7 linked regions of the Oryctolagus cuniculus genome follow. The protein of the gene in region 5 interacts with the protein of the main gene of each other region in a biochemical or structural test. Links are inferred from orthologs where the notes say so. Each region holds a gene or a part of one and is shown on either strand. Other genes may lie near its edges. The genes, in order: PLAA, ANKRD13B, ZFAND2B, TOM1, UBC, AP2S1 and BIRC3.

What was found.
Region 1: the proteins of UBC (region 5) and PLAA form a complex in vitro, tested with the Homo sapiens proteins (2 studies listed by BioGRID, with this or other methods). The link is inferred for Oryctolagus cuniculus from reciprocal best matches to the Homo sapiens genes UBC and PLAA.
Region 2: the proteins of UBC (region 5) and ANKRD13B form a complex in vitro, tested with the Homo sapiens proteins (3 studies listed by BioGRID). The link is inferred for Oryctolagus cuniculus from reciprocal best matches to the Homo sapiens genes UBC and ANKRD13B.
Region 3: the proteins of UBC (region 5) and ZFAND2B form a complex in vitro, tested with the Homo sapiens proteins (3 studies listed by BioGRID). The link is inferred for Oryctolagus cuniculus from reciprocal best matches to the Homo sapiens genes UBC and ZFAND2B.
Region 4: the proteins of UBC (region 5) and TOM1 form a complex in vitro, tested with the Homo sapiens proteins (9 studies listed by BioGRID, with this or other methods). The link is inferred for Oryctolagus cuniculus from reciprocal best matches to the Homo sapiens genes UBC and TOM1.
Region 6: the proteins of UBC (region 5) and AP2S1 form a complex in vitro, tested with the Homo sapiens proteins (2 studies listed by BioGRID). The link is inferred for Oryctolagus cuniculus from reciprocal best matches to the Homo sapiens genes UBC and AP2S1.
Region 7: the proteins of UBC (region 5) and BIRC3 form a complex in vitro, tested with the Homo sapiens proteins (3 studies listed by BioGRID, with this or other methods). The link is inferred for Oryctolagus cuniculus from reciprocal best matches to the Homo sapiens genes UBC and BIRC3.

What each region holds. Positions count from the first base shown.
Region 1 is NC_091432.1:190,185,368-190,189,162, reverse strand, and holds part of PLAA (phospholipase A-2-activating protein), read left to right. Parts: intron 1-2,588; coding exon 2,589-2,746; intron 2,747-3,472; coding exon 3,473-3,692; intron 3,693-3,795. UniProt on the Homo sapiens protein: Plays a role in protein ubiquitination, sorting and degradation through its association with VCP. Involved in ubiquitin-mediated membrane proteins trafficking to late endosomes in an ESCRT-dependent manner, and hence plays a role in synaptic vesicle recycling.
Region 2 is NC_091448.1:45,053,113-45,057,567, forward strand, and holds the start of ANKRD13B (ankyrin repeat domain-containing protein 13B), read left to right. Parts: upstream 1-1,449; 5' UTR 1,450-1,464; coding exon 1,465-1,845; intron 1,846-2,778; exon of another isoform or gene 2,779-3,272; coding exon of another isoform or gene 3,273-3,386; intron 3,387-4,455. UniProt on the Homo sapiens protein: Ubiquitin-binding protein that specifically recognizes and binds 'Lys-63'-linked ubiquitin. Does not bind 'Lys-48'-linked ubiquitin.
Region 3 is NC_091434.1:20,256,963-20,261,217, reverse strand, and holds the start of ZFAND2B (AN1-type zinc finger protein 2B), read left to right. Parts: upstream 1-1,313; 5' UTR 1,314-1,857; intron 1,858-1,977; 5' UTR 1,978-1,999; coding exon 2,000-2,054; intron 2,055-2,305; coding exon 2,306-2,400; intron 2,401-2,617; coding exon 2,618-2,749; intron 2,750-2,853; coding exon 2,854-3,005; intron 3,006-3,237; coding exon 3,238-3,330; intron 3,331-3,406; coding exon 3,407-3,467; intron 3,468-3,551; coding exon 3,552-3,619; intron 3,620-3,801; coding exon of another isoform or gene 3,802-3,823; coding exon 3,824-3,896; intron 3,897-4,035; coding exon of another isoform or gene 4,036-4,056; exon of another isoform or gene 4,057-4,133; coding exon of another isoform or gene 4,134-4,178; exon of another isoform or gene 4,179-4,237; coding exon 4,238-4,255. UniProt on the Homo sapiens protein: Plays a role in protein homeostasis by regulating both the translocation and the ubiquitin-mediated proteasomal degradation of nascent proteins at the endoplasmic reticulum.
Region 4 is NC_091442.1:112,916,659-112,920,453, forward strand, and holds part of TOM1 (target of Myb1 membrane trafficking protein), read left to right. Parts: intron 1-1,391; coding exon 1,392-1,525; intron 1,526-2,896; coding exon 2,897-2,930; intron 2,931-3,262; coding exon 3,263-3,356; intron 3,357-3,795.
Region 5 is NC_091452.1:5,126,993-5,131,016, reverse strand, and holds the start of UBC (polyubiquitin-C), read right to left. Parts: upstream 2,801-4,024; 5' UTR 2,436-2,800; intron 1,982-2,435; exon of another isoform or gene 1,813-1,981; intron 1,667-1,812; 5' UTR 1,664-1,666; coding exon 1-1,663.
Region 6 is NC_091449.1:10,588,278-10,591,280, reverse strand, and holds the end of AP2S1 (AP-2 complex subunit sigma), read right to left. Parts: intron 1,608-3,003; coding exon 1,494-1,607; intron 1,208-1,493; coding exon 1,148-1,207; intron 1,042-1,147; coding exon 940-1,041; 3' UTR 737-939; downstream 1-736. UniProt on the Homo sapiens protein: Component of the adaptor protein complex 2 (AP-2). Adaptor protein complexes function in protein transport via transport vesicles in different membrane traffic pathways.
Region 7 is NC_091432.1:94,053,145-94,056,397, reverse strand, and holds the end of BIRC3 (baculoviral IAP repeat-containing protein 3), read right to left. Parts: intron 1,862-3,253; coding exon 1,607-1,861; intron 1,353-1,606; coding exon 1,311-1,352; intron 1,187-1,310; coding exon 993-1,186; 3' UTR 732-992; downstream 1-731. UniProt on the Homo sapiens protein: Multi-functional protein which regulates not only caspases and apoptosis, but also modulates inflammatory signaling and immunity, mitogenic kinase signaling and cell proliferation, as well as cell invasion and metastasis.

The sequences.
Region 1 (3,795 bases), on a different chromosome or scaffold from region 5:
TGAGCTGTTATTTGACTTTTTACACTTTGCTAACATTCACATTTAAGGTACAAAGGCAAAGTAAACAAAACTGTTGCCTCTTTGGCATGCAGGTCAATGCAGTGGCACTGAATTGTTCTAGTACTTACTGTGTTCTTCACTGACATGCAGTTGTGTTTTTAAAAACACTGCCATTTGCCCTGAAGAAAGTCTTTGATGAAGCATTAAAACTTGCTTTATTCCTTCTTGACACTTTAATATACATCTTTCTTTCTAATATTCAGTGCAGCAAAATGTGAAATACACTGTGCCTTCTCAAAGAAAACCGTGTGTTTGGTCATTTGAGTTGCAGGCTGAAGTATAACTTTTTAAATGAAATACCCCTTTTTTTTTTTTTTTTAATTTTTGACAGAGTGGACAGTGAGAGAGACAGAGAGAAAGGTCTTCCTTTTGCCATTGGTTCACCCCCCAATGGCCGCCCCGGCCGGTGCGCTGCGGCTGGCGCATCGCGCTGATCCGAAGGCAGGAGCCAGGTGCTTCTCCTGGTCTCCCATGGGGTGCAGGGCCCAAGTACTTGGGCCATCCTCCACTGCACTTCCGGGCCACAGCAGAGAGCTGGCCTGGAAGAAGGGCAACCGGGACAGAATCCGGCACCCCAACTGGGACTAGAACCCGGTGTGCCGGCGCCGCAAGGCGGAGGATTAGCCTATTGAGCCGTGGCGCCGGCGAAATACCATTTTTATTTGAAAGACTGACTAGGATTATTCAGGCTTCGGTATCTCGTAGACATTTTTTCAAAATTATGAAAGTGAGCTTGTCACTTTAAGGAATATAACTGACAGTATTTGTTGCCAAAGATAAAATTCAAGCTTTCAAGTGTAAATTGGAAATTTAGAAAATTTGTATGTGCCACCAGAAGCTTGATAGCTTCCCAATGTTTGATGATTATAGTGATAATATTAACAAATGCAGTTTTTCATATCGAATAATAAAATGTGTAAATATGGAAATCTGCATGAGTCAGTGAATTGGTATTTTCTTATATTTTTAAAAAATTTTTACTTATTTATTTGAAGGCGAGTTAGAGAGGGAGCAACAGAGAAAGAGGTCTGCCATCTGCTGGTTTACTCCCCAAATGGCCACAACGGCCAGGGCTGGGCCAGACCGGAGCCAGGTGCCAGGAGTTCTTTTAGGTTTCCCACATGGGTGCAGGAGCCCAAGCAATTGAGTCATCTCTGCTGCTTTCCCAGGCACATTAGCAGGGAGCTGGATTAGAAGTGGAGCAGCCAGGACTGGAATCAGTGACCATATCGGATGTTGGCGCTGCCGCAGCGACTGAACTCACTGTGCCACAATAATGGTCGCCCAAAATGGTTTTCCAAATGACCGGCATATTGTTACAGACTCATACATGGGCAAAAGATAAGTAGTAGAGCATTAAAAAAATCCACTGATGTAGTTGCAGATTCTAAATCTTGTAACCCCCCCCATCCACATTTTCTGAAAAAAGCTATGTAATTCTCTTTTGAAGTCCATAGCTGTGTGTTGGATTTACTTTAACCAAACCAAAAAGTTGCCCCAGATTGAGACAAGGTATAAGAGATTAGGGGATGATGGACTAGGCCAGAACTGACATACTATGCTCGCCTCGTTCCACTGGCCATGGCTGAGTAATGTGACATCAGTAGACTTCCAGTTCAAGGATCTGGGTAAAGTAGTCTCTAGTTAGACAGTCACTGGTCTCCCCTGTGGAAGAGGAACACAGCTGTCCCCGTAGAACGGCTTCCTCATCAGAGATGGGGAGAAAGTCGCAGCCATCAGCGGAGTGTTAGTGAGGGAAGGTAGCTAAGCTTTCTTCCAAAAGCCTTGCTGAGGTGACATTCGAGTAAAGTCAAGGAGACAAAGGAGCAAAACTTGTCAGCATCATGTGAAACTTGTCAGCATCATGTGAAAAATGTCACAGGCAAAATAAATAGGCAGTGTAAAGGCTTCATGGTTGACGTTGGGTGACGTGGGTGGGAGGAGGAGTAGAGGATGAGACCAGAGGGGATGGTAGGGACAGTTTATTTGGTCTAGTACACCACTGCAAGAATTTAGACTTTTGCCAAGAGATGAGAAGCCATCGAAGGGTTTTATGCCGAACAGTGTCAGACCCACTTAAACTTTTGAAAAAAATTTCTATGGTTGCTGGTTGAAGATATACCCTAGAGGGCCAAGAGCAGAATTTGGATGCCAATGCATCAATCTAACTGAAAGGGTGGGCTCCTAGCCTGTTGGTTAAGAGGCCCTTGTCCTTTATTGGAGTGCCTGGATTCGATACAGTCTCTGGCTCCTGACTCCAGCTTCCTGCCAGTGTTGATCCTGGGACACAGCAGTGATGGCTCAGCTAACTGGATCCTTGCCACCCAAATGGGAGACCTGGATTGAATTTCTAGCGTCTGGCTTCAGCCCCAGCCAGAGCTTGTTATAGGCATTTGGGGAGTGAACCAACAATTGAGAACTGTCTTCCTTTCTCTCTCTGCTTCTCAAATAAATAACAAAATATTTTTTAAGTTAATAGATATTTTTGAATTTTATTCTATCTTGATTTTTAAAATTTTTATTTTAAGGTACTAGAGAAGGACAGACTCGTCTCATCAGAGATGGGGAGAAAGTTGAAGCCTATCAGTGGAGTGTTAGTGAAGGAAGGTGGATAAAAATTGGTGATGTCGTTGGCTCATCTGGTGCTAATCAGCAAACATCTGGAAAAGTTTTATATGAAGGGAAAGTATGTTGATTTCTTTCTAATTATCATTATCTTAAATCATTAGCCAAGTTAAAGGTTTTCTCAATGCTGATACAGTGTTTTGCGGGGGGTTGTTAAAATTTAGAAATAAATTACTGTAGGAAAATTATCTTTTCCCCCTGTATTGAAAGGATTAACTAAAAGGATATCTTTCCATGTATAGAAAGCTGCATTTGATAAATAAAGTGGGCATTATCTTTTAGTAGTTCCCATACATAAGCAGTTCCCAGCCATTTAGGATTACGAATTCTATGCCACCCTTCATCTAATGCCTTGTGCCTGGCTGTATTTAATTTGATACAACATGATGGACACTGCAGAGCAGTACTTAAATGCCAGCGTGTTTAGGTGAGTAGGGCATAGTAACAGCTGATACTTTTGGCCTTGAGATCAACCAATTGGCAGCCCTCCTTTGGTTCTGGAATTAATATGTGGTCATAATTATCTTCCATTCCACTGCACCCCCCCTCCCCCACTGAAATACTACCTTGCAGCACATGTGAGTGGTCTCTGTTAGTCCTTATTTGCCAGAGAGTTTTTGGCATTGTACATTAAAGCAAGCTTAGTTACTGTAATTATTAAAATGAAAAACACATAATATTTGTTATATATGTATGTATGAGTTAATATGTATTAATATGTATGAAAAGAAATATGTGAAAAGATTAATTAGTAATCTTTTATCTCCTGACTATATTTCTGTTACAGGAATTTGATTATGTTTTCTCAATTGATGTCAATGAAGGTGGACCATCATATAAATTGCCATATAATACCAGTGATGATCCCTGGTTAACCGCATACAACTTCTTGCAGAAGAATGATTTGAATCCTATGTTTTTGGATCAGGTGGCTAAATTTATTATTGATAACACAAAAGGTCAAATGTTGGGACTTGGGAATACCAGTTTTTCAGATCCATTTACAGGTAAATTAATGTTTATATTAGGTCTTATGTACTTTTTTAAAAAATAATTTATTTACTTGAAAGATGTAGTTACAGACAGAGAGAGGTAGAGACAGAGAGCTCT
Region 2 (4,455 bases), on a different chromosome or scaffold from region 5:
GGATGCCCAGGTGCCAGAGGGGCCATGCAGTGTAACCCCTGCCTGTGTCTAAAGATGCATCCCTCCCCGCACGCGTGCAGCTTCCATCTGGAGGGGAGAGAACGCGGCAGTGACCACTGAGCCTGTGTTTGCTGATACCTCCATGTCACGCGCCCCGTGCACTCCCACCGTGTTTCTGGGCTACCGGAGGCGTGTGTACCCGGAGCGCATGCTTAAAACATATTCAGGGGCTGGGAAAATCTTTCTTCTGGGGCTTCAAACGGAGAAGCAGGCGAGGACCGTGGGAGGGGACAGGAGCCGAAGTGCGGGCCACACGTGGGCGCACCCCCGCACTGAGCATGCTCCCCCACGCACGTGTGCCCGGCGTGCACCCAGCCCCCATCCCTGCAGCAGCAGCAGGGCCCTGGGATTGTGGGGGAGAGCAGGGGTGTCCAGGGCCAGGCCTGGGGGCCAGATCCGCGGTGACAGTTAAAGGGAGGGTTTCTCAGGCATCAGGGACTCCTGCTCAGTAACAAGTTAGGAGAAGGGGGAGTCCTTGCGCAGGGGTGCCCGAGTCGGTCGCTGTACCCAGAAGTACCCTGTGGGTGGGCAGGCCCCTTCCCTAGGGCAAACAAGTAATGCTCATGAGTCACACCACCCGAAATACACGCAGAGCTGCCTCCATCGCCTTTCGCCGCAGCCCAGATTGACAAGTTTTGTTTGAAATAGCGATCCACGGGATATATTTATAATCGCACCTTTAAAAAAAAAATCCCTGGCAGGCCTCCCCTCCCCCCAACAGTCAGCCGCTCAGCTGGTGGGGCTTCTGCACGCTTAGATTCCTCGCAAAGTGTATTGGGGGCGGGGGTACCACCGCCGCCCCCGCGCTGCGCCCGCACCCAGGAGCCCGTGAGCTTGGAGGCTCCAGACGGGGGAAGGGAGCAGTGGCCTGGCAGCCGGTACCGGGCGCGCAGCCCACGAGCGGCGACCGCCCGTTCACCCCCGATCGACCCCCAGCTATGGAATTTCATTTATTAAACGTCGAGGCGGCTGCTGGCAGCCCTGCCGCTCGGCTGGCTTTGTTTCTCCGCTGTGTGGGCGCGTCTCGAGCACGTGGCCGCCGCAACGCTCGGGCCGAGGGGAAGGCGACCTGGGTGGAGTGTTCAGGGCCGCCTGGCAGGGAGAGCCGGCTGCCCGGGCACGGACCCTCCGAGCCCGGGAGCTGCCCGCCCCCGGGAAGGAAGGGCGATTCGCTCCGCTCCCCCATCCCCAGGATGCCCTGGGGACAACCTGGGAGTGGCCCTGGCGCGGACGCGGCGTCCACAAACTTTGTCCCTGAAGCCCCAGCCCTGTGACGGCGAGGCTTCCGGGCTCAGGGAGATAAAAGCGCTTCTGGGTTTCCCTGTGGAGATGTCACTACCCCCACGAAGCAGGTTAGCTGAAGGAGAATCACACACAAGGTTCTAAGGACAATTTAATGAGGAAATGTGCAGGCATTTCTCGCGGTCGCTCCTAGACAGACGCCCCTCCTTTCCGGAGCCCCCTCCCCAACGCCGGCCGCAGCCACGACCCTCTGCTGACCCCTGGTGGTGGAGGCGGGCAGCGCCCGCGCGCTGCAGCGACGCCCGCTGGCTCCTCCCCGGCTGGAGCGAGGGGCGAGGCGGCGCGCTCCGCCCTCGTCCCTTCCCGCCCGGGCCTGGCACCACCGCAGGGTGTGCAGCAGGCAGGAGAGACCACACAAAGGAACCTGAGCGAGGCGCAGGGAGTTTGCAAGCTTTTGCTGGCACCTCCCACACAAAACACTTCTTGGATCGTCGTTCCGAGAAGGGCTGCGGTGGAATCCCTTATCCCTCGCCTTGCTCGAAGGTGGGCTCGGGAAAGCGCCGAGCCTCAGTCCGCCTGGTGGGGGTGGGGGTGGTGGGGAGGCGCCTATTCCAGGGCAATTACTGTCCTCAGCTCACCCCCACGACGTGGTACCCACAGGCTCACTTTAGAGGTGAGTGCATCGAGAAACAGAGAATTCAGGCCGTTTGCTTAAGGGCAGACGGTGGGCAAGGAGGTATTGGGATTTCGGTATCTGTGACATCATGGTCCCTCCTTCCAGTCCTTCCTGCCCTCGCAACTGGTGGCTCGGGAGGCAGATTCCACTCTTACCACGCCCTCTGCAGGGGCCGTTCTGGAAATACCTCTGCGCCCGGTCTCTGGGACCAGGGGCGGAGGTGGGCAGCTGCCACCTGCTGCTTCCTCTGCCCAGCCTCACTCTGGCTCCTGTGGAGGCCAGGGTGTGGAGGGAAGGCTGTGTTCTCCCGGCCAAATGGGACATTCTCTTTTCCGTGCCGTCCGTAAAGACGGAGTTGGATTTTCTAAGAAGAGGGGGAAGACGCCTAGGAAACACTCCAGGTGCCAGGTCCCTGGCTGCTCCATGTCCCGCACGCCTTCTCGGGAGTCCCCATCAGGCACCCGCTACTGGGAATCCGGATCTCTTTCTACAGCCCCTGGGACCAAGCTCAGTTATGAAGGCCACACCGCACCCCCCCCCCCCGCCCCCAGGCACGTTCCAGGGAGGCCTGTGGCAGAAAGCCAGCGAGCGGGGGTGCGCCCCAGCCCACCTGGAGTCCGGGCTCCGCCTCCGTTCTGGCCGGGCCTACCTCTTGGCTCACCCTTATGGGATCAGGGCCACCCAGTGCGGGACCCTCTCCCGACACCTGCCACCCTCAGTTCCGCCAGGCGGACTACAAGTCCCATGATGCCACGGGGCCTAGCTGTAACCCTCTCTGCCGGGGGCACTCGGATCCCCACTCTCTCCCCCGCATCCCCGCGTCCCTGGCCGGCCGCTCAGGCTGAGGGCCGGGCTATGCGGCTGCGGGGAGCCGGGTGCTGCGGGCGCGCGTCCCTGCGGCGGCGGCGTCCCCGGGGCCCGCACCCCGTGCGCCCCCGCTGCGGGTGCCTGCTCTCTCCGCGGAGCCGAGTCTTTGTGTGTGGGGGTGTGGGAGGCGAGGCGCCACTCCGCGCCGCGCCGCCGAGTGCCCGCTCCCTCCCCGGGCGGGTGGGGGCCTCGCAGCGCCGCCCGCCGTCGCCGCCGCCTCGCGAGGACGCCCGCCGCCCGCGCCGCCCGCACCGCCTGCACCGCGCCGGGCGCGCCGCCCCCGCCCGCCGCCGCCGCTCGCACATGCCCGAGCCGCAGCCCTGCGAGCAGGCAGCGCCCGCCGCCCGCCCCGCGGCCCCGGGCCCCGGCTGCGGCGCCGTCCCCCCTCCCGGGCCGGGCGCGGCGGCCCCGGCATGAGGAGCGGGCGATGATCCCCGCCAACGCCTCCGCCAGGAAGGGGCCCGAGGGCAAGTACCCGTTGCACTACCTCGTGTGGCACAACCGCCACCGCGAGCTAGAGAAGGAGGTCCGCGCCGGCCAGGTAAGAGCGCCGTCGGGGCGCCGGGGACCCCGCGGCCCGGCACGCCCGTCCGGCGTGGGGCAGGGGCGCGGCGCGGGCTGTCCCGCCTCTCGGCCGAGTTAGCGGCGCCTCTTTGTTTGCAGCCGTGGCTTTTGTGCTGGTTGACTGGGAGCGGCCCCTACCCGCTCCCACCGGCCCGGACGCGGGCGGCCCGCACGTGTTCCCCACCCTCCGGGAGCCGGGCTAGGGTCGCCGTGCCCCCTCCTGGGCCAGGGCAGTGAGGGCTGCAGGGAGGGGCGGCCCGCTTGGTGTGTGTGTTCCCTGTGGTGGGAGGGTCCGCCCCACTCCGTCGAGCCGCGACACCTCCCGCGTGAGCGTGCGGAGGTGGGAAAGGCCCGCAGGTCGAGGATTGGGGGCCAGGCTGTGACACTCCCGGGCATCCCGGCCCCACCCAGTGCCCTTTCCCTGCGTGGTGAGCGCTTCCTCCGGCCCTTTAGCGCAGAGCCCCTGGATCCCTCAGCCCCCAGCCCGGGGAGAGAGGCACTCTCTCCACGAGTCCCCGAAGGGGCCTTGTCCAGGTGCTGAAAGGCGCTCTCCTGGCGGCTGGTGCTGAGGAGGCGGGGGTGGGGGGTGGGGGCCCCGGCCGCAGGCAGGACTGGCGGTTCTGCAGGGTGAGATCGCGGTGGGGCCGGGTGGGTCAGCCAGCTTCAGGGAGCAGGGAAAGGTGGAGTCTCTTGGCTATTCTTCAGCACGAAGGCAAGCCCAGGTCACAGACTGTGCCCAGTTCTGTCCTTGGCACCCAGGCCACAGGTAGGCACCCATGGCACAGGTGACCCACCCTGCAGGGAGGGCAGCAGGAGCCACAGCTGGGCCCAGTCTGCTGCAGGGTGAGACCTCCCGACTTGGGCTGGGAGTGGGTAGCTCCGAGTTGCTACCCACTGAGGGCCAACCCAGCAGCCGGCTTCCCAAGGGAAGCAGGGAGGTGGAGGTTCACCCCCTAGTACCCAGGCCAGGGGCCTCATGCAGTCTCCCTAAACGTGGGCTGGGCTGGGCTGGGCTGGGCTGGGCATCCACCCCCTTCCTCCTGCCT
Region 3 (4,255 bases), on a different chromosome or scaffold from region 5:
CCTCTTCCAATCCAGCTCTCTGCTATGGCCTGGGAAAGCAGTAGAAGATGGCCCAAGTCCTTGGGCTCCTGCACCAGCATGGGAGACCCAGAAGAAGCTCCTGGCTCCTGGCTCCTGGCTTCAGATCAGCGCAGCTCCAGTCGTTGCGGTTACCTGGGGTGAGAACCAGCGGATAGAAGAACTCTCTCTCTGTCTCTACCTCTCTCTCTAACTCTGTCTTTCAAATAAATGAAATAAATCTTTAAAGAAAGAAAAGAGCTTCTTAAAAAAAAAAAAAAGAACACATTAAGAACACAAATTCTCTTGGCCTTGATTCCTAATTCCCAGGAAAGAATATGATTGGGCAAATGCAGCAGTTGCACCTGGGGCCCTGTGCCGCATCTGCCAGGCCCATCTCTGACTTCAGCTACTGCTTCAGGCTTCTTCTCTTATTAAGACCAGACCTCTTGTTCTTTTTAATAGGCCCAGTGTTTGCTCAGGCCCAGTGTTTGCATCTCAGGGTTTTCCTTAAAGCTTCTGTAGCGCAGACTACTTGCACAAAGGTGCATCTGGCACAGTGCAGGGCTTGGCCCATGACCCCATCAAGGCAACTGGGTACAGTCAGAGCTGGGACGAACCTGCTTGAGGAACCAGGAGACAGGCTTTAGAGTTGTGACTGTGTAAGAAGCAGACACAGAGGGAACAAGAGCCAAGAGTTGGAGATGGACGGAGAGACAGAAAGAGGGGGAGAAGGGTTCCTCATCTCCAGCTGTGGCCTGGCTTCCCTCTCCATTCTGGAGGACACTGTTCAACTCCGAGCTCATTTCACCTGGTTACTCGTCCCCATCGGCAGACTCACGGGGAGACGGAGCGTGACCAACCCTGGGCAGAAGGGACCTCAGACATACGAGAGGTAAAATGTGCTGAGCCTAGAAGGCCTCAACCCAGAGCTACTTAGGGTAAAGCAGGAGGACTCTCACTCCTAATCCAAGAAACACTAAGCACTGAGAATATTCTAGATTTTTTTAATTCAAAGTATGGCATATGCGCAACTTGTCTGGATTCCCTCAGGTGCTTTTACTGTATGAGGAGCCCAAGAGCCCCGGAATCTGCATTTTAAGTTGAGCCCGTAGGTAATCTGAATTCGCACTGGAGTCTGAGAACCACACTGCTCAAGGCACTGCCGGGATCCAACAGAGCAAGGTGGATGCGTGGATGCTGTCCCGGCATTCCAAGGGTATTCATGCATGTGTATGTGCGCACGTGCCTGTCAGCAGACTACTATAATGAGGTTAATATGCGTGCTGGAATAGCCACAGGGAGGTCGCCTAGCAGGTGCACCTCGTCCAGACAGGAGATTCGGGAAGTCTCACAGGAAGCGCCTCAAAGCTGAAATCTGGAGGCACCTGCACTGCAGAGAAACATGGGGAGTTGTCAGCCCGTAGACGGTAAACGCAGCTTTGGCTGTCAACGAAGAAAAATGACCAGAAGATGCACAGAGAGGGGAGGGGGCAGAGAGAGAAGCGGGCCAAAGACCGAATTGTAAAAGACTCCAAACCATCTCATTTCCTCCGACCCTAAGATTTCACCTGCGCTGGACTTCGTCAGCCCCTTCGCCCATCCCTCAGGCCTCAGGGAGACCTTCCGCGGAGCTGAGCCCGCGCCTAGGACTGCGGAGCCGCCACTCCCGCCGCCTCAGCGCTGCAGCGCCCCGCCCAGCGGAGCCAGGAGGGGCGGGGCGCGGCTCCGCCGGGACCGCCCCCTGAGGGGGCCTGGATACGGCGCAGGGCGCGCCCGCTTTGCGTGGTGACGTCAGAGCGCCCGGGCTGGCGCCGAGGGAGGAGTGGGAGCCGAGAGCCGGCAGGCGCTGAGACTCCGGTAACCCGGGCTGGGCGGGGGAGAGGAAGGGGCGGGGCGGGGCGCCCCTCGGAGTGTGGAGTCGTGGTCGGACCCGGAACGGGAGCCCTAGAGACGCTCAGGACTCGCCGCTTCTCCCAGCAGGCTCCTGTCCGGCCCGGCGATGGAGTTTCCGGACCTCGGGGCTCACTGTTCCGAGCCAAGCTGTCAGCGCTTGGGTGAGGGCAGGGCAGGGCGGGAGAGGGCTTGGAACTGCAGGTGGAGCGAGACGGGTGGGCTCCGGGGCTGGAAGTACCAGGAAAGGGCGGGGCGCGAAGCCGGGGGCGGTGGCCGAGGGGGCGTGGCTAAGGAGATCGATCGTGGAGTCACGCAGGGTGCAGCGTGGGGCGCACCGGCGGTGTTTTCCTTCCCTGGCGAGGGCAGGACACCGAGGTCCCGCCGGGCCTGCAGTCTGACCCCCTCCCTGCAGATTTCCTGCCGCTCAAGTGCGATGCCTGCTCGGGCATCTTCTGCGCAGACCATGTGGCCTACGCCCAGCATCACTGTGCATCTGCTTACCAAAAGGTGAGGGGGCGATCCCGAGGGTGGAAGGGGGCGGATGGAGCGTGCACGCACAGCCCCCCGAGTCCGCTTGCCTCGCGCGTCCTCTCCGTGTTCTCCTTCCTAAGGCTCAGTCAGTGCTGGGGAATATTGTGTCTTCTTGTGCATTTGTCTGGGGGCATGTCCAGGTGCTTTCGGGACGAGGGAGTTGTTGCGCTGATTCCCACCCCCTTGACTGTAGGATATCCAGGTACCGGTATGCCCACTCTGTAACGTGCCGGTGCCTGTGGCCAGAGGGGAGGCCCCCGACCGCGCCGTGGGGGAGCACATTGACAGAGACTGTCGCTCGGATCCGGCACAGCAGAAACGGAAGGTGAGCGGGTGGGGGGGGGGGCGACCCTGCTGGGACGCCTGCGCGGCGGACTTCTGTAATGCGGGTGGGGTCTGAGCAGAGACAGAGTTTCCCCTTCCCCTCAGATCTTCACCAATAAGTGTGAGCGCCCCGGCTGCCGCCAGCGGGAGATGATGAAGCTGACCTGCGAGCGCTGTGGCCGAAACTTCTGCATCAAACACCGGCACCCACTGGACCATGACTGCTCTGCGGAGGGGCGCCCGACCAGCCGGGCAGGGTAACGGCCACCAAGTCCTCTATTTGCCTGTGGCACTGTCTCATCCTTTTAGAACAGACTCAGCCTCTGTCATTGCAAATTAGGAACCTTCAACCCTGTCCCCAGTGGCTGGGGGGGGTGTCTTTTAGCTTCCGGTGCATGTTTGTCCAGGCTGCAGAGCAAGTCCCTCCCTCCCCTGCCCCTGGGGGAAGCTCCTTCTTGGAGGTTTGCCAAGAGCGTCTCTTCCCTACAGACTGGCCGCCATCTCCAGGGCACAGGGCCTGGCCGCTTCTGCCAGCACCGTCCCCAGCCCGAGCCAGACCTGGCCTTCCTCTACTCCCAGCAGGTAGGCCCGCCCATTTCTCCTCCCCTCCCTTTCCCCTTCTCATCTCTGATCTCAGCCTCTTGAATGTCTGCCATAGAGCCACAACCCAGTCTCCATCCCGGACAGCCCCTCCAGTGGTTGCTTTGCAGAATGGCTTGGTGAGTTGGGCAGAGGTTGGATGGACAGGAGTCCCATGCAGTGCTTCAGCCCTAAGGAAACTGGTCTTGTCTCTCCCTTCGCAGAGTGAGGATGAGGCTCTGCAACGAGCCTTGGCATTGTCCCTGGCAGAGACCAAACCCCAGGTCCCCAGGTACCTCCTCTCTGCTGAAAGAGGGTGGGCCGTGGGCAAGGGCTGTTTGGAGGGAGGTGGGGCCGCTCTGACCCGATGCCAGGTCATAGTTAGGACACGAATACCCACCGTGTGAGGCTGCTATGGGGATGGAGAGGGTACCCAGAAGGGCTCAGCACTGTGGCGCTTGACATGAATTTTAGATGTCACTGTTCCTCGTCCCAGTTCTCAGGAGGAGGAAGACCTGGCTTTAGCACAGGCACTGTCAGCCAGTGAGGCAGAGTACCAGCGGCAGCAGGTGTGAGCCGGGGTGCAGATGGGGTCCTGCCCTGGAGGGAGGCAGAGGGGTGTGGGTGTGGGTGTGGGTGGCGCATGTGTGTGCTTGGGGGAGGGGGAGGGGGTCTTCTAAGGGGCGGTGGTTCTCCTTTTGCTTTCAGTGTGCCTCCAGCCCATGCTGAGCTCTGAACTGAGGGCTGTCCCCTCATCTCCTTGACTTCGCACCCTGTCTTCCCTTCTTCCCCTCTCCTTGCTCCAGGCGCAGAGCCGCAGCTTGAAGCCATCCAACTGCAGCCTGTGCTAGGGCCCTGGGCTTGGGGAGGGAGGCTCAGCTGAGGAGGACTGTGGCCCTCACATCTCTAGGGTACACAGGGAGAGGAG
Region 4 (3,795 bases), on a different chromosome or scaffold from region 5:
CCAACAAGGGGCCAGAGAGCTGAGCCTGCTCACCACATCTCCTGGGCAGGATGGTCTCTGTGTGTCGCTGGCTTGCTCTGGGGTCCTGGGGTCCTGACATTGTGGGAGGCTGGGGACAGGAGGGGGTCGTGGGGTGCAGTGAGGCAGTCCCCGAAAGCTGAGTGAGGACTTCAGGGAAGAATGGCGCGATTGCAGCGAGCCCCGGGCCACGGCCGTCAGGGATGCACGATTTCGGGGACTGAGAAGGCAGAGTTGACAGGCGACAACTGCCAGTCCCCACCAGGTTGGGGAGTGCTGTGGCTGGGACGTGGCAGAGCTGGGATTCCCACCCGGAGCCCTGGCTCCAAGGGCTGTCCTGCACTTGAAAGGGGCCGGCAAGGAAGTGCAAACAACCACAAGTGGTCAGGGAGGAAGGAAGGGGAGGCCCTGCCCTGCCCCGCCCTGTGCAGAAGGCAGGCCTCCCTGAGGATGCTGGGTAACGGAGCTGCAGGAACCACAGTGAGCAGTCCTGCTGACAGGTAACCAGGGGAAAGACACTCAGTCCAGAAAATCGGAATCCCCTGGCTCTCGATAAATGTCTTTTTTTTTTTTTTTAAAGTCATCAGCGACATGGTGACTAATGTGTGTGGGATCGTGGGACAGAAATGGACATGGAAGAGGAACTGGTGGCACGCAGATACGGTCTGCAGCTTGGTCAGCAGAACTGTGCCGGGGGGCCAGGAACTCCGTCTGTGTCTCTCACGTGGGTGGCAGGACCCTAGTCACTTAAGCCATGACCGCCGCCTCCCAGGGTCTGCAATAGCAGGAAGCTGGAGGCAGGAATCCATTGCAGGCCCTCTTACCCGACTCAGGACGCAGGCACCTCACCCACAAGCCCAAATGCCCCCATCATGGTTTTGACAAATGCCAGCCTGGGTGAAGGGTGTACGGGAACTCTCTGTACCATCTCTGAGTCGAAAATTATCCCACAGGACAAATGTCATCAAAAAAGGAAACAGTAGTAAGGCACAGCTTTGAAGCTGGGGTTTGTGGGCAGTAGTTGGTTTTCTGTGCTTTGGATCCAAAACACCGCAGGGCAGCAGAAAAGCTGCAGACGGCTCAGCCAGCCCACCTCGGAGTCTCAGCATCTTCAGCTTGCGAAGACAGGGGCAGGGGCACAACCCTGAGGTCTGTACACAGCCAGCAGCGCCGTTTAACGAGTATTCGATTTTAGTGTAGACCCCTTGGACGGGAAATTCCAGTTCATGCCTGCCAAACCCCAGAAGCTGTGCCAATGGGACCTCGAAGTCCAGCTTGGGAGCCTCTCCCTCCGCCAAGGCAGGCCTGGGGCCTGGAGCCTGGGCTGCCACAAGTGCGCATGGCCGTGGTCGGCTCACTTCCCTCCTCCGCAGGAGCTGAACCGCACATGCCGGGCCATGCAGCAGCGGGTCCTGGAGCTCATCCCCCGGATCTCCAACGAGCAGCTGACGGAGGAGCTGCTGATCGTCAACGACAACCTCAACAACGTGTTCCTGCGCCACGAACGGTAGCCCCGCCCCGGCCCCGCCCCACCCCCAGCCTGGGTCTCCTTTGCAGAGTCCGCCCTGGGACAGCAGCAGGTGGTGGCCTAGAGCGGGGCCCCGCAGCCAGGCCGGCCGTGCTGTTCTTGCAGGCACCGCACCTCCTGGCCGTGGGCCCCCAGGAAAGTCACCTGACTGCTTCGTGACCGCCAGCCGCCAGAGCCCCACAGGGATCAGTGAGGAGCACAGTGGGTAGTGGTCGGAACCCAGTCGGAGGCGGTTAGAGCCGTGATGCCTCGGCACAAGCAGGCAGCACAGGCCCCCGGCCGCTCAGTGGTCCCGGGTGCAGACACACCTGCCCCATGTCCCCAGGGAGCCGTTATCAGTGAGTGGGTCACCTCCAAACACTTGTCCACCGGGTGTCTTCCTGTCCCCAAGACCCTCGCCAGCTGGCTGGGCTGTGTTGTGCTCACCTGTTGGGAGAGGGAAGGTGGCCCCTCCGGGGCACTCCCAGAAGCATCACGTCCAACAGGGAGAGCTGCCTCCCCGGAGCCCTCGGCTGCTGGGCCTGTAAACAGCGCGCCCAAGGCCGCTGAGGGTCCAGGAAACAATGCTGTCTGCTGCGTGATGCCGCTCGTCTCTGGCATCTTCATCCCTCAGCAGACGCCACTGCGCGGTTCTAAGTCCCAGTGTGGGGCCCCTGCTCGGCTCACCTGCCCGGCCGCTCCTGCTCCTTGGCTCAGCAGAAGGAAAGGGCCCCCTCCCTGCCCTGCCAGGGTGTGGCTGTGTCTGGGGCAGCTGGTCCCCCAACACCCACAGCCATCAGCCGCACCCGTGCAGTGCTTCCCATGGGCTCTGTCTTCACTTGCTCCTCATCACAGCTGGGAGGCGGCTGACGGGACACTAACGTCACAAGTGATGTGACACACCCATGCACAGAGCCGCACCTTGAGCAAACCCAGATTCTCAGCCCAGCTCCCCAGCCCCCTGGCCCTTAAGTGGCTCCACACAGTAGGGTCTTCTGTGCAGCACTCAGGGAGCCACACACTCACACTCACTCACACACACGCACAGATGGGCACACACCGCTGTACCGTGTGCCAAGCACTCCTATTTTCTGTTCTGCTGTATTGCCATTGGCGTCACACTCACCGTGATTAGGGCTGTAGAACAATCTAAACTGGGACACTTTGCAAGTACCAGAGGGACACTGTGCGTAAGTCCTGGGAACAGCGGGCGCCGGCTGGATCTGTCCAGAGTAGAGCCGGATGTTGCATCACCCTGACCGTGACCCCCAACCCTGATGCTGAGACCCTCAATTGGGGAGCTGTGCCGGGGCCGTCCTGGGGGACCCGTTTCCGTCTGTCCCGCTGACTCGGGTCTTTCCTGTCTCGTAGATTTGAGCGGTTCCGAACAGGCCAGACTGCCAAGGTAAAGGCCCTTTTCCGTGCCTGGGTGATGGCAGGTGAGCAGGAGCAGGAGGGCGCTCCCCGCCTCCCTCCCCGGCATCCTCCGCAGGCTGGGGCTGCCTGAGGAAGCAGAGGGGCTGTTCTCACGGGCGCGCCACTGCCCCTTGTGGGCCAGTAAGGCTGCGCCACCAGCTCACAGCCAAGGGTCTTTCCAACCTCCCTGGGGCCCAGCTGAGCTGGAAGTGGGGGAGGGAAACCTCCTGCCCCCAGCCACAGCCACGGGGGACTAAGCCGTGGGGAAGAAAGCCCGCGGGAGGGAGAGGGGGAGGATGACGGGGCGCCTCCCTCCCCCAGGCCCCCAGCGAGGCTGAGCCAGCCGCAGACCTGATCGACATGGGCCCCGAGCCTGCAGCCACCAGCAGCCTGTCATCGCAGCTGGCGGGAATGAGTGAGTGCGGTGTGCAGGGCGCCTGCCGAGGTGGGATGGTGGGGCTGTGGGCGCCCTGCTGCTCCCCACCTGCAGCGGAACATCTGTTAGCGTGCTCCTGACAGATGTAAGCGATACTCGCCCCTGTTGCCCAGGTTGGCTTCAGGTACTGCCTGCCGGCCTCGTGCTGAGCCCTGGGGGTCCTTAGGACCCCATCTTGAGTGGGCTGCCACACTAACAGCATGCCTTTTGAGAAGTCCCTCCCTCTAGCGACAGTGGGCGGCCTTGTCCCTGTTCCCTACTCACAAGAGCCCAGGAGGGAGTGACTGTGTCTCCCCCTTAGAGATGCGTGAGGGAGAGGAAGAGGAGGGTGGCCTGGGCCCCTGGCCAGCAGACGTCCTGCCCCCTCCGTGCCCTCTCTGGCCTGCCTCCTGGCCTGTGTGCTCCTGCAGCACCAGGC
Region 5 (4,024 bases):
TGGTGTCACTGGGCTCCACCTCGAGGGTGATGGTCTTGCCGGTCAGGGTCTTCACGAAGATCTGCATGCCACCTCTGAGGCGCAGCACCAGGTGCAGGGTGGACTCCTTCTGGATGTTGTAGTCGGACAGGGTGCGGCCATCTTCCAGCTGCTTGCCGGCAAAGATCAGCCTCTGCTGGTCGGGGGGGATGCCCTCCTTGTCCTGGATCTTCGCCTTGACGTTCTCGATGGTGTCACTGGGCTCCACCTCGAGGGTGATGGTCTTGCCGGTCAGGGTCTTCACGAAGATCTGCATGCCACCTCTGAGGCGCAGCACCAGGTGCAGGGTGGACTCCTTCTGGATGTTGTAGTCGGACAGGGTGCGGCCGTCTTCCAGCTGCTTGCCGGCAAAGATCAGCCTCTGCTGGTCGGGGGGGATGCCCTCCTTGTCCTGGATCTTCGCCTTGACGTTCTCGATGGTGTCACTGGGCTCCACCTCGAGGGTGATGGTCTTGCCGGTCAGGGTCTTCACGAAGATCTGCATGCCACCTCTGAGGCGCAGCACCAGGTGCAGGGTGGACTCCTTCTGGATGTTGTAGTCGGACAGGGTGCGGCCATCTTCCAGCTGCTTGCCGGCAAAGATCAGCCTCTGCTGGTCGGGGGGGATGCCCTCCTTGTCCTGGATCTTCGCCTTGACGTTCTCGATGGTGTCACTGGGCTCCACCTCGAGGGTGATGGTCTTGCCGGTCAGGGTCTTCACGAAGATCTGCATGCCACCTCTGAGGCGCAGCACCAGGTGCAGGGTGGACTCCTTCTGGATGTTGTAGTCGGACAGGGTGCGGCCGTCTTCCAGCTGCTTGCCGGCAAAGATCAGCCTCTGCTGGTCGGGGGGGATGCCCTCCTTGTCCTGGATCTTCGCCTTGACGTTCTCGATGGTGTCACTGGGCTCCACCTCGAGGGTGATGGTCTTGCCGGTCAGGGTCTTCACGAAGATCTGCATGCCACCTCTGAGGCGCAGCACCAGGTGCAGGGTGGACTCCTTCTGGATGTTGTAGTCGGACAGGGTGCGGCCGTCTTCCAGCTGCTTGCCGGCAAAGATCAGCCTCTGCTGGTCGGGGGGGATGCCCTCCTTGTCCTGGATCTTCGCCTTGACGTTCTCGATGGTGTCACTGGGCTCCACCTCGAGGGTGATGGTCTTGCCGGTCAGGGTCTTCACGAAGATCTGCATGCCACCTCTGAGGCGCAGCACCAGGTGCAGGGTGGACTCCTTCTGGATGTTGTAGTCGGACAGGGTGCGGCCGTCTTCCAGCTGCTTGCCGGCAAAGATCAGCCTCTGCTGGTCGGGGGGGATGCCCTCCTTGTCCTGGATCTTCGCCTTGACGTTCTCGATGGTGTCACTGGGCTCCACCTCGAGGGTGATGGTCTTGCCGGTCAGGGTCTTCACGAAGATCTGCATGCCACCTCTGAGGCGCAGCACCAGGTGCAGGGTGGACTCCTTCTGGATGTTGTAGTCGGACAGGGTGCGGCCGTCTTCCAGCTGCTTGCCGGCAAAGATCAGCCTCTGCTGGTCAGGGGGGATGCCCTCCTTGTCCTGGATCTTTGCCTTGACATTCTCGATGGTGTCACTGGGCTCCACCTCGAGGGTGATGGTCTTGCCAGTTAAGGTTTTCACGAAGATCTGCATTGTCTGTTATGAGAAAACACACAAAAAGAAACAAAAAAAAATTCAGCAAACAATTCACTAATATTCCTAAAGACTGAATATCGTCTATTTATCTACACTATTAAAATTAATAACTTGCTTAGGAACTCCAAAGGACACCAAACACAAACCTGAAAAATTACTTCAAAACCCCAGCCTCAGACCCTTCGTTATGAAGAAAGCAGGGAAACGTGACCAGTGAACTCAGGGCTTTTCCGTCCCTCCCCCCTTCCGGCTCGCGTTCCCGTCCACTCAGCAGGATCTCGCCTAGGCCCTAACCGTGTGTCTTGCAACTGACAGAAACCGACGCCACCCACACCGGGAGGCAGCCCCGCCCTGCTCTGTGTGCCAACACGCGGGTGACGTCACGGCGCGAGCCGCCCCCCACCCGCTGGAGCAGCCCCGCGCCGAGGCGCCTCCCTACTCCCCAGCCCCTAACCGGGGCCCAGCGCTGCCCGTCAGCCCCGCCACACCGCTCCCCCACGTCTCCAAACGCGGCCCGGCGACGCCGCCTTCCGCTCCTCAGACCCTCGCGGCGCTCGGCGCTCTCCGGCCCCTGTCCGCCCTGCACCCTGACCTCCCGGCTCGGCGGCGCCGCCATCTTGTCGGTTCTTCCGCCTGCGGGGCGACCCCAGCCGACTACCCGCCCGGGAGGGCGTCCCGCCCGCGGCGGGCAGCCGCACCGCCCTCCTCCCTCACGGCCGAGAGGCCGCGGGCCGCCCCCACCCCGGCCAGCACGACGAGGTCCACTCACCAGGCGGCGGCGGCGGCGGCGGCGGCGGCGGCAGCTGTACGCAGGATGAAGGCGACCGAACTCCGGCTCCGACGGAACTGGCTGCGCCGCGCCCGGCGCCCGCTTATATAGTCCGACGGCGAGCCGCCGCCCCGGCGAGATCCCTCCGCAGAAACGCCGAGAAGGAACTACTTTCCTCAGCCTCTTCCGCCCTCCGGGAAGGAACCCTGCGCCCGGGGCCGTCGGCCCCCTCACAAAACGTTCTCGGGTCGAGCCCGGGGCGGTACCGCCGGGCCCGGGAGGGGAGGGGCCGCCGCCCTGAGGGGCCCGGCGGAGGGATCAGGGCGTTTGCTGCGTGCTGCGGCCGACGTGCGGGCGCCCGCCCTGGGGGAGGGGAGCCGGCGCGCGGGCGGCGGGAAGACCCGGCGCGGAGCCGGGCGGCGCCCGGAGCGGGCGGGCGGCCGGGGGCTTCGGCTCCGCCCCGCGCCCCGTCCCCTCGGCCGCAGCGGCCCGTCGGTGGGCGGCCCGCGGGGGTTCCGGCCCGGCGCCCCCTCCCCGCGCGCGGCCCGCTCTGTCCCCGGCCCGCGACCTCGAGGGGCTTTCTGTGGGGTCGCGTCTGAGGTGACCGCGGTGGTCTCGTCGGGGCCGGGCCGTGACTGGGCACATCCGGGCCTCGCCTCCGCGGCCCACTGTGTCCACGGCCCGTGACCTCTAGGGGGCTTTCTGTGGGGTCGCGTCTGAGGTGACCGCCGTGGTCTCGTGGGGGCCGGGCCGTGACTGGGCACATCCGGGCCTCCCCGCGCGCGGCCCGCTCTGTCCCCCCGGCCCGTGACCTCGAGGGGGCTTTCTGTGGGGTCGCGTTTGAGGTGACCGCCGTGGTCTCGTGGGGGGCCGGGCCGGTGATTGGACACATCCTGCCCTCGCCTCCGCGGCCCCGGCCCCGGCCCCGGGCCGCCGGCGCGCAGACCCGCGGGGAGCCACGGCGGACCCCGACAGCGCTGGCTGGTTGCGGCTGGTCGCGGCCGCCCAGGCTCTCCCCGGAAGCCGCCGCCGGAGGCGCCTGGTGCGGCCCGGGCTTTAACCTGGGCCTTTTTACGGACGCGAACCGAAGCTGCGCTCTGTGTTTCCGGGATCCGATGCATGAAACGCGCACCTCGCGTTGTGATCACAAGGGGGAGGGGCACGGTCAGCCACGGGGTCGTGTCCTGGTGTTTGGGAGAATCGTGGCGTCGACCAGCAGGTGAGCTGGAGGCTCTTAAACGTTAGCGGTGGATTTGCCCCCTCGTGCCCCGAGTCCCCCCCTCCCCACGCTGTGCTGTGCGACTCTTCTAGAATGTTCCATTGCCACGATGGGGCGGAGGCGGGACCACAGCCCCTCCTTAGAGGGGAAGACCGTTTTACAAGTGTCATGTCACCGAGAAGCCCCGGCAGAACAACCGCTGTGTGGTTGCTGTGGTAACCTGCGGCTGTGTGGATCTGGGAAGATCTACCTGAGCATTGTTAGAGGACTTTTCCACCCCTTAAACCCCCAAACAAGGAATGCCCGGGCCCGGGGGGTTAAAATGCAGAGCAGGAACCCAAGCTAGCGGGAGACCCTGGTGATGGCCAGC
Region 6 (3,003 bases), on a different chromosome or scaffold from region 5:
CAAGGAGCCCGTTCTGCACTTCTAGAACTTCCGCGCATAACCGTGTTGCTCCAAGCCACAGATGCAAGCCACTGCCGTGGGATTACCGCGGGCTGGGAAGAGCGCGTGGAAGAGTGGAATTAAAAGCTTACTTTGGGGGCCAGCGCTGCGGTGGGCTAAGCCTCTGCCTGCATCCTATATGGGCGCTGGTTCGAGTCCCGGCTGCTCCACTTCCCATCCAGCTCCCTGCTGTGGCCTGGGAAAGCAGTGGAGGATGGACCAAGTGCTTGGGCCCCTGCACCTGCATGGGAGACCCAGAGGAAGCTCCTGGATTCGGATCAGCGCAGCTCTGGCCGTTGGGGCCATTTAGGGTGTGAACCAGAGGATGGAAGACCTCTCTGTGTCTCCCTCTCTGTCTGTAATTCTACCTCTCAAATAAATAAGTACAATCTTAAATCCATCAATGGAGGTCCTGGCGGAGCGCGCGAGGAACGTGTGTTATGAAGGCTTCTGCAGGCGCTTCATCACCGCCGGCACCGACATAGGCTCGGCTGGGGGGCGGGGCAGCAGGGGCAGTGGTTGAGACGCAGCTGGACCCCGCACCCCGCAGCCCCAGCTCCGGCCGCCGCACCCCCAGGGTTCCCCATGCGGGGAACAGAGCCTGCGAGGACGGCGCAGCTCTGTGGGCACCGCCAGACCCCTCGTCGTCTCCCTGGCGCGGCAGAGGCTGGGGCAGCCCCGGGAAGGCAGGCGAGGCTGGGCGGGACCACAGGTTTATTGAGGGCTCCAGGCACTCGCGCACACACACACGCACACGCACGGCCTCACGACAACAGCACGGCCTCGCGACAACAGCACGGTTCCTCGGGACGCACGCGGTGGCCCCGAGGCAGGGGTGTGGTCTCCTCCCTGGGGCGCCCAGACCCCGCGGGGCCCCTTCCTCCGGGCGGGGGCGGCGCCTCACTCCAGCGACTGCAGCATCAGCAGCTGCTTCAGCACCTTGGTCTGGCTCGTCTCGCGGATCTCGCCCGCCAGGAACATCTCGTCCACCACCGTGTAGACCTGGCGGGGAGACGGCCAGCGCTGAGAGGGGCGCCGCGGCCGGCCCCTCCCGGGCAGCGGGGGCTCGGCCGGACGCCCCAGAGCTGAGCGCGCGCACCCGGCCTACCTTGTAGAAGTTGAACACCAGGTCCAGTTCACAGACGTTATGGAAATACTCGTTTAAGACCTGCAGGGGCGGCGAGGGAAAGACGTGCTCAGGGACAGGGGCCGGGGAGACGCGCGAGGCAGGACGCGGGAGGCGGGCACCGCAGTGGGCAGGGACGGGCACCGCGGCGGGCAGGGCGGCGCGGACAGGGACGGGAGGCGGGCACCGCGGTGGACAGGGACGGGAGGCGGGCAGGGTGGCGGGCAGGGCGGCGCGGACAGGTACGGGAGGCGGGCACCGCGGACAGGGACGGGCACCGCGGTGGGCAGGGCGGCGCGGACAGGGACGGGAGGCGGGGCCCGCGCACCTCCACGAAGTTGTGGATGGCCTCCAGGTAGGCCAGGTTGTTGTCGTTGACGTCCACGCAGATGCAGAAGTAGAGGCCGGCGTAGCGCCGGTAGATGATCTTGAAGTTGCGGAACTGCGGGCAGAGACGCGGTCAGAGGCTGTCGGCCCCTCCCCTGCGCATGCTCCCCGGGCTCAGCCCTGGGCCGCGGGCCTGGCCCCGGAGGGACGCATCCCCGGGGAGGGGTTGGGGGTGGGTGCGGGACACTTCGAGTCACAGAGGGCTTCCTAAAGGAGAGGCCGCCCGCAGAGACACGGGGAGGCTGAGGGTCCAGGCAGCGGGACGGCCAGCGTGCATGCTCAGGGCACGCCCCACACTCCCGCCCAGCCGCTCCTCTCCCTCGGTGGCTTCCTGTCACCTCTGGAGAGGGGCGGATTCCGGAGCCTGGAGGGCACCTGAGCACCCAGCCCACAGACACCTCCTGAGCACCCGCTGCGCGCCAGGCACCGCCCAGGACGCTGGCCTCGCTCAACCGTAACCCGCGTAAATATTACAACAGGAGCAGGACAACCGGCAAGAGAACACGCCTGGCCCCGGGCGTGTGTGTGTTTGCAAGGAAATAGAGAGACAGACGTAGATAGCGACGTTATGGCGTTGAAAAACACAAAGCCTTCGGCAAAAAAAAAAAAAAAAAAAAAAAAATCAAACAAATCTCCAGCTCCAGGTCCAGGGTGTGCGTCTGGCGCCATCTGGTGGCGGCCCCGAGTGCCAGTCTCTCTCTAAAAAGGATTTATTTATTTGAAAGCCGGAGCGACAGAAGGAGGGGAAGAGGGAGACAGTTTTCATCGGCTGATTCACTCCCCTAATGGCCGCGGCAACCGAGCCTGGGCCAGGCCACTCATGGGGGAGCTCCGGATGGAGTTCCGGGCTCCGGGCTCCGACTCGGTGCGGCCCTGGCTGCTGCAAGCATTTTAAGAGCGAACCAGCAGATGGAAGATTCTGTCTGTCTCCCCGCCCCCGTCACCGTGGTAACAGTGACAGCAGCCACAGGGAACTAACGCGGGGATGAGGGAACACCTATGATGTGCACACAGGAAGGGTGCATGGCGGGTCTCCATCTCATCCCTCCTTCTCCATCACAAGTCCCCTCTTCCAGGAAGCCTGTCTGGGTCTCCATCTCATAAGAGGAACTTTTCTTTTAATGTCTCTTCTCCCTGATTCTCCTGAGTATGTTGGGGGATGAGATCAACTCTCTCTTGTTCTGATTCCATCCCCTCCTCCAGGAAGCCCTCCCTGACCCCTGGGCTGGGTCAGGTACCTGCTCATGGCGGCTATCCCTGTACGGAGATGGCCTATGTCCCTCCTGGACCGGGGCCCAGGAAGGCAGCGCAGGCCATCTCAGCCTCCTCACCTCCGGCCTCCAGCCACAGCCCCTTCCCGCCGCTGCCCCCACCCCTCTCTCCTCCACAGCTCCACAGCTGGTCCCAGCTCTGCCTCCAAAATACTCCTTGCCTGTGCCGGGCCAGTCACC
Region 7 (3,253 bases), on a different chromosome or scaffold from region 5:
TACTTCTGGCCTTTAAAGTCCTAATACCTCTAGAGGGAACAAAGGATAGAGAAATATGTGTTGGACATGTTGAGTATCCATGAAGCTATGTAAGGGAGGCAATGTTGCCGTCCTAACAAAACAGAACACACTTCCTCACCAGGACAAGCTATTGGTGCCAAGGGCTACTAAGTTCCAGAATAAATACTCAAGTGGTGAGAGTAAGATGAGGGGCTTTTCCCCATGGGTAGGGATGGCGAGAGACTTCCGGAATGAATCAATAGAAAAATGAACAAATTTACTGAGGAGATGGTTTGATTTTTGTCTCAGGCATCCCATAAAATGCTACAGATGAAAGCCAGGTGTGTTGATCTTTATGCTGTACCATTATAAATGAAGAAACATCTTATAGGAAGGGACCTAAGCTGGGGCTCAGCCCTGAGGAGGTCTTAGGGAAGTATGGAAGTATGGAAGAGGTCTGCGGGTGAAATAAAGGTAGAGAGTAATTTCTATTGCTTTAATAAACTGTTCCTCATGGAATTCCTCAAAAAAAAAAAAAAAAAAAACCCACCATGTTCCTAAAAAGAATCATTCAACAAATATCAAGACTTTCTATGTATAGGATGCTGACTTATACATAAAAAATGCAAGGAATTCCTGTTAATATTCAACAAAAGCCCAAGATATTTAAAATTTTGAAAGATAAAACTCCAATATCTTAAATGTTGCTTCACTTATAATTTCAGTAATGCTGCAGTTTTCACTGAGTATTTTATTTATAATGTTGTCCCTATTTTTTGTTCATAAGAACAAAAGCCTATTATTGTCTTGTTATCTAAAATATGCATGGCCACATGTTCTAGATACATATTTATGTAGGCATATTTCTACAAAAAGTTTTCTGAATTGTAATAAAACATTTACATCAAAATCACTATCAAATCAGTGTAAAAGTAAACACTATGATACATTTAATCCATTAATTCTAAAGTATATCAAAGTTTCAATCTTCTTTATGAAAGAAATGTGCGAACTGTACCCTTGATTGTACCCCTACAAATAGGACATTTTCTTAGAGAAGGGGCACAATCTTTGCATACAACTAGGTGACCACAAGGAATAAACACAATGGACACTTCTTTGTCCATACACACTTTACATGTTCTTTCTTCTTGTAATCTCCGCAATTGTTCTTCCATTGGTAAATCTAAGAGAAGAAAAGAATTTTTAACAGTTATTTGCTTCTCTTCCAACAACAACAACAACAAAAAAAAAAACCAAGAAAATAAAAGCAATGTTTTCTACTGACTTTAAAGTGTTAATGCTATTACCTGAAACATCTTCCGTGGGAATGTACTTTATGTCCTGTTGCACTAAGGAGGGAAAAAGAAAAATCATTACAATGATGAAGCCAATATTATCTCTAGAATATATTTTTAAATGAACAGTTTAGTTTTGGAGCAAAAATATGAATAATATCAAGGTAACACAGTTATCAATCTGTTATACAATTAATGTTTATAAATTAAATTGAATTGTCAAATAATTTTAATAATCATAAATTATTAGTGAAAGACTACTTTCAGTTGATATAGAAAATTCCCAGAAATAATTTTTTAGCACTCACCAAATAAATGCTTGTATAACACAGGGTCAGTTTCTTGTAAACAATCTTTGAATACGGTGGCTGCAATATTTCCTTTTACTAAAATAATATCAATGAGTTCTCTGGCTTGTAAAGATGTTTGTGTTTTCTGTTTAATAACAGCATGTTCTTGCTTATTAATCACTCCAGAAGTTAGAAGACTGTCCAGGATTGGTATCACACAAGTCAAATGTTGAAAAAGTGCCATTCTATTCCTCCGAATTAACGACAGATCATCTTAATAAAAGAAGAAAACAACAAACATGCTTAAACTTTGCTCACAGACTTCCTCCCATGCTTGAATGTAACTGAATGAAATCCACCTTTAATTCACAGTCAGATAGGCACTGATGTTCCTTGCTAGGCTTGGGGGTAGCTGATCCCCTGTGTCTAATAATAATGCTGATTATAAGTTCTAACCTGAACACTGACTAAGCACTTTACATGTGTTAACACATTTCATCTTTACAACAGCCTTTTGAGGTATATGCCTCATTTTAACACATTGGGAAAACGCAGTCACAGTGAGGCAAATAAGTTACTGGGGCTGGCATTGTAGTGCAGCGGGTAAAGCTGCCACCTATAATACCAGTACCCCATATGGGTGCCAGGGCATGTCCCAGCTGCTCCACTTCTGATCCAGTTTCATGCTAATGGCCTGGGAAAAGCAAGGACAGATGGATGGCCCAAGTCCTTGGACTCCAGCCATACACTAGATGAAGAACCTGGCTCCTGGCTTAGTACTGGCTGTTGTAGCCACTTGGGGAGTGAACCAGCAGTTGGAAGATCTCTCTCCCTCTCTCTGTAACTCTGCTTTTCAAATAAATAAATAAATCTCTTTAAGTTACAGAGACAGAGGGAGAGAGAGAGATTTTCCATTTGCTGCTTCACTCCCCAAACAGCCACAGTGGCCAGGGCTGGGCCAGACCAAAGCCAGGAGCCAGGAGCCTCTTCCAGATCTTCCAGGTGCAGGGGCCCAAGGACTTGGGCCACCTTCTGCTGTTTTCCTAGGCACATTAGCAGGGAGCAGGATTGGAGTGGAGCAGCCGGGACTTGAACTGGCACCCATAAGGATGCTGATGTAGCAAGCGGTAGCTTTACACGCTCCGCCACAGTGCTGGCCCCAATAAATCTTCAACAACAATACAAAAAATATAAGTTGTCAAAGGACACACAAGTAGTAGAGGTCACACTGAGGCAGTCCAGTGTCACAACACCTGCTTTTGACCATTCTGCAATTATGCTAAACCCTAACCCAATAAAAGTTAGAGTCTAATAAAACTGAAATTTCAATTCAATCTAGTCAAAAGGGGAAAGGTAAAATCAAGATAATTTTTTCTTAAAATATCATTCTTCCATAAAATGTCTTCAATATTTCACATTAAGTTGAAAGTTTAATCATTTCCCCAAATTCGGCATATTGTCACTACCTATTTTATGATAAGGAGGAAATGGCACTAATATTTTGAGAAATAACCCCCTTTGTCAATGACTACCTTCTTGTCTTACAGGATCATCTCATTCCCTTTGAGATCTAGATTTTCTAATGGTTAAAAAAACCTGTATTTTGAGATAATAATGTTATGATCTCTTTATAATATGACTCATGGATCTATATTTATTAATTAT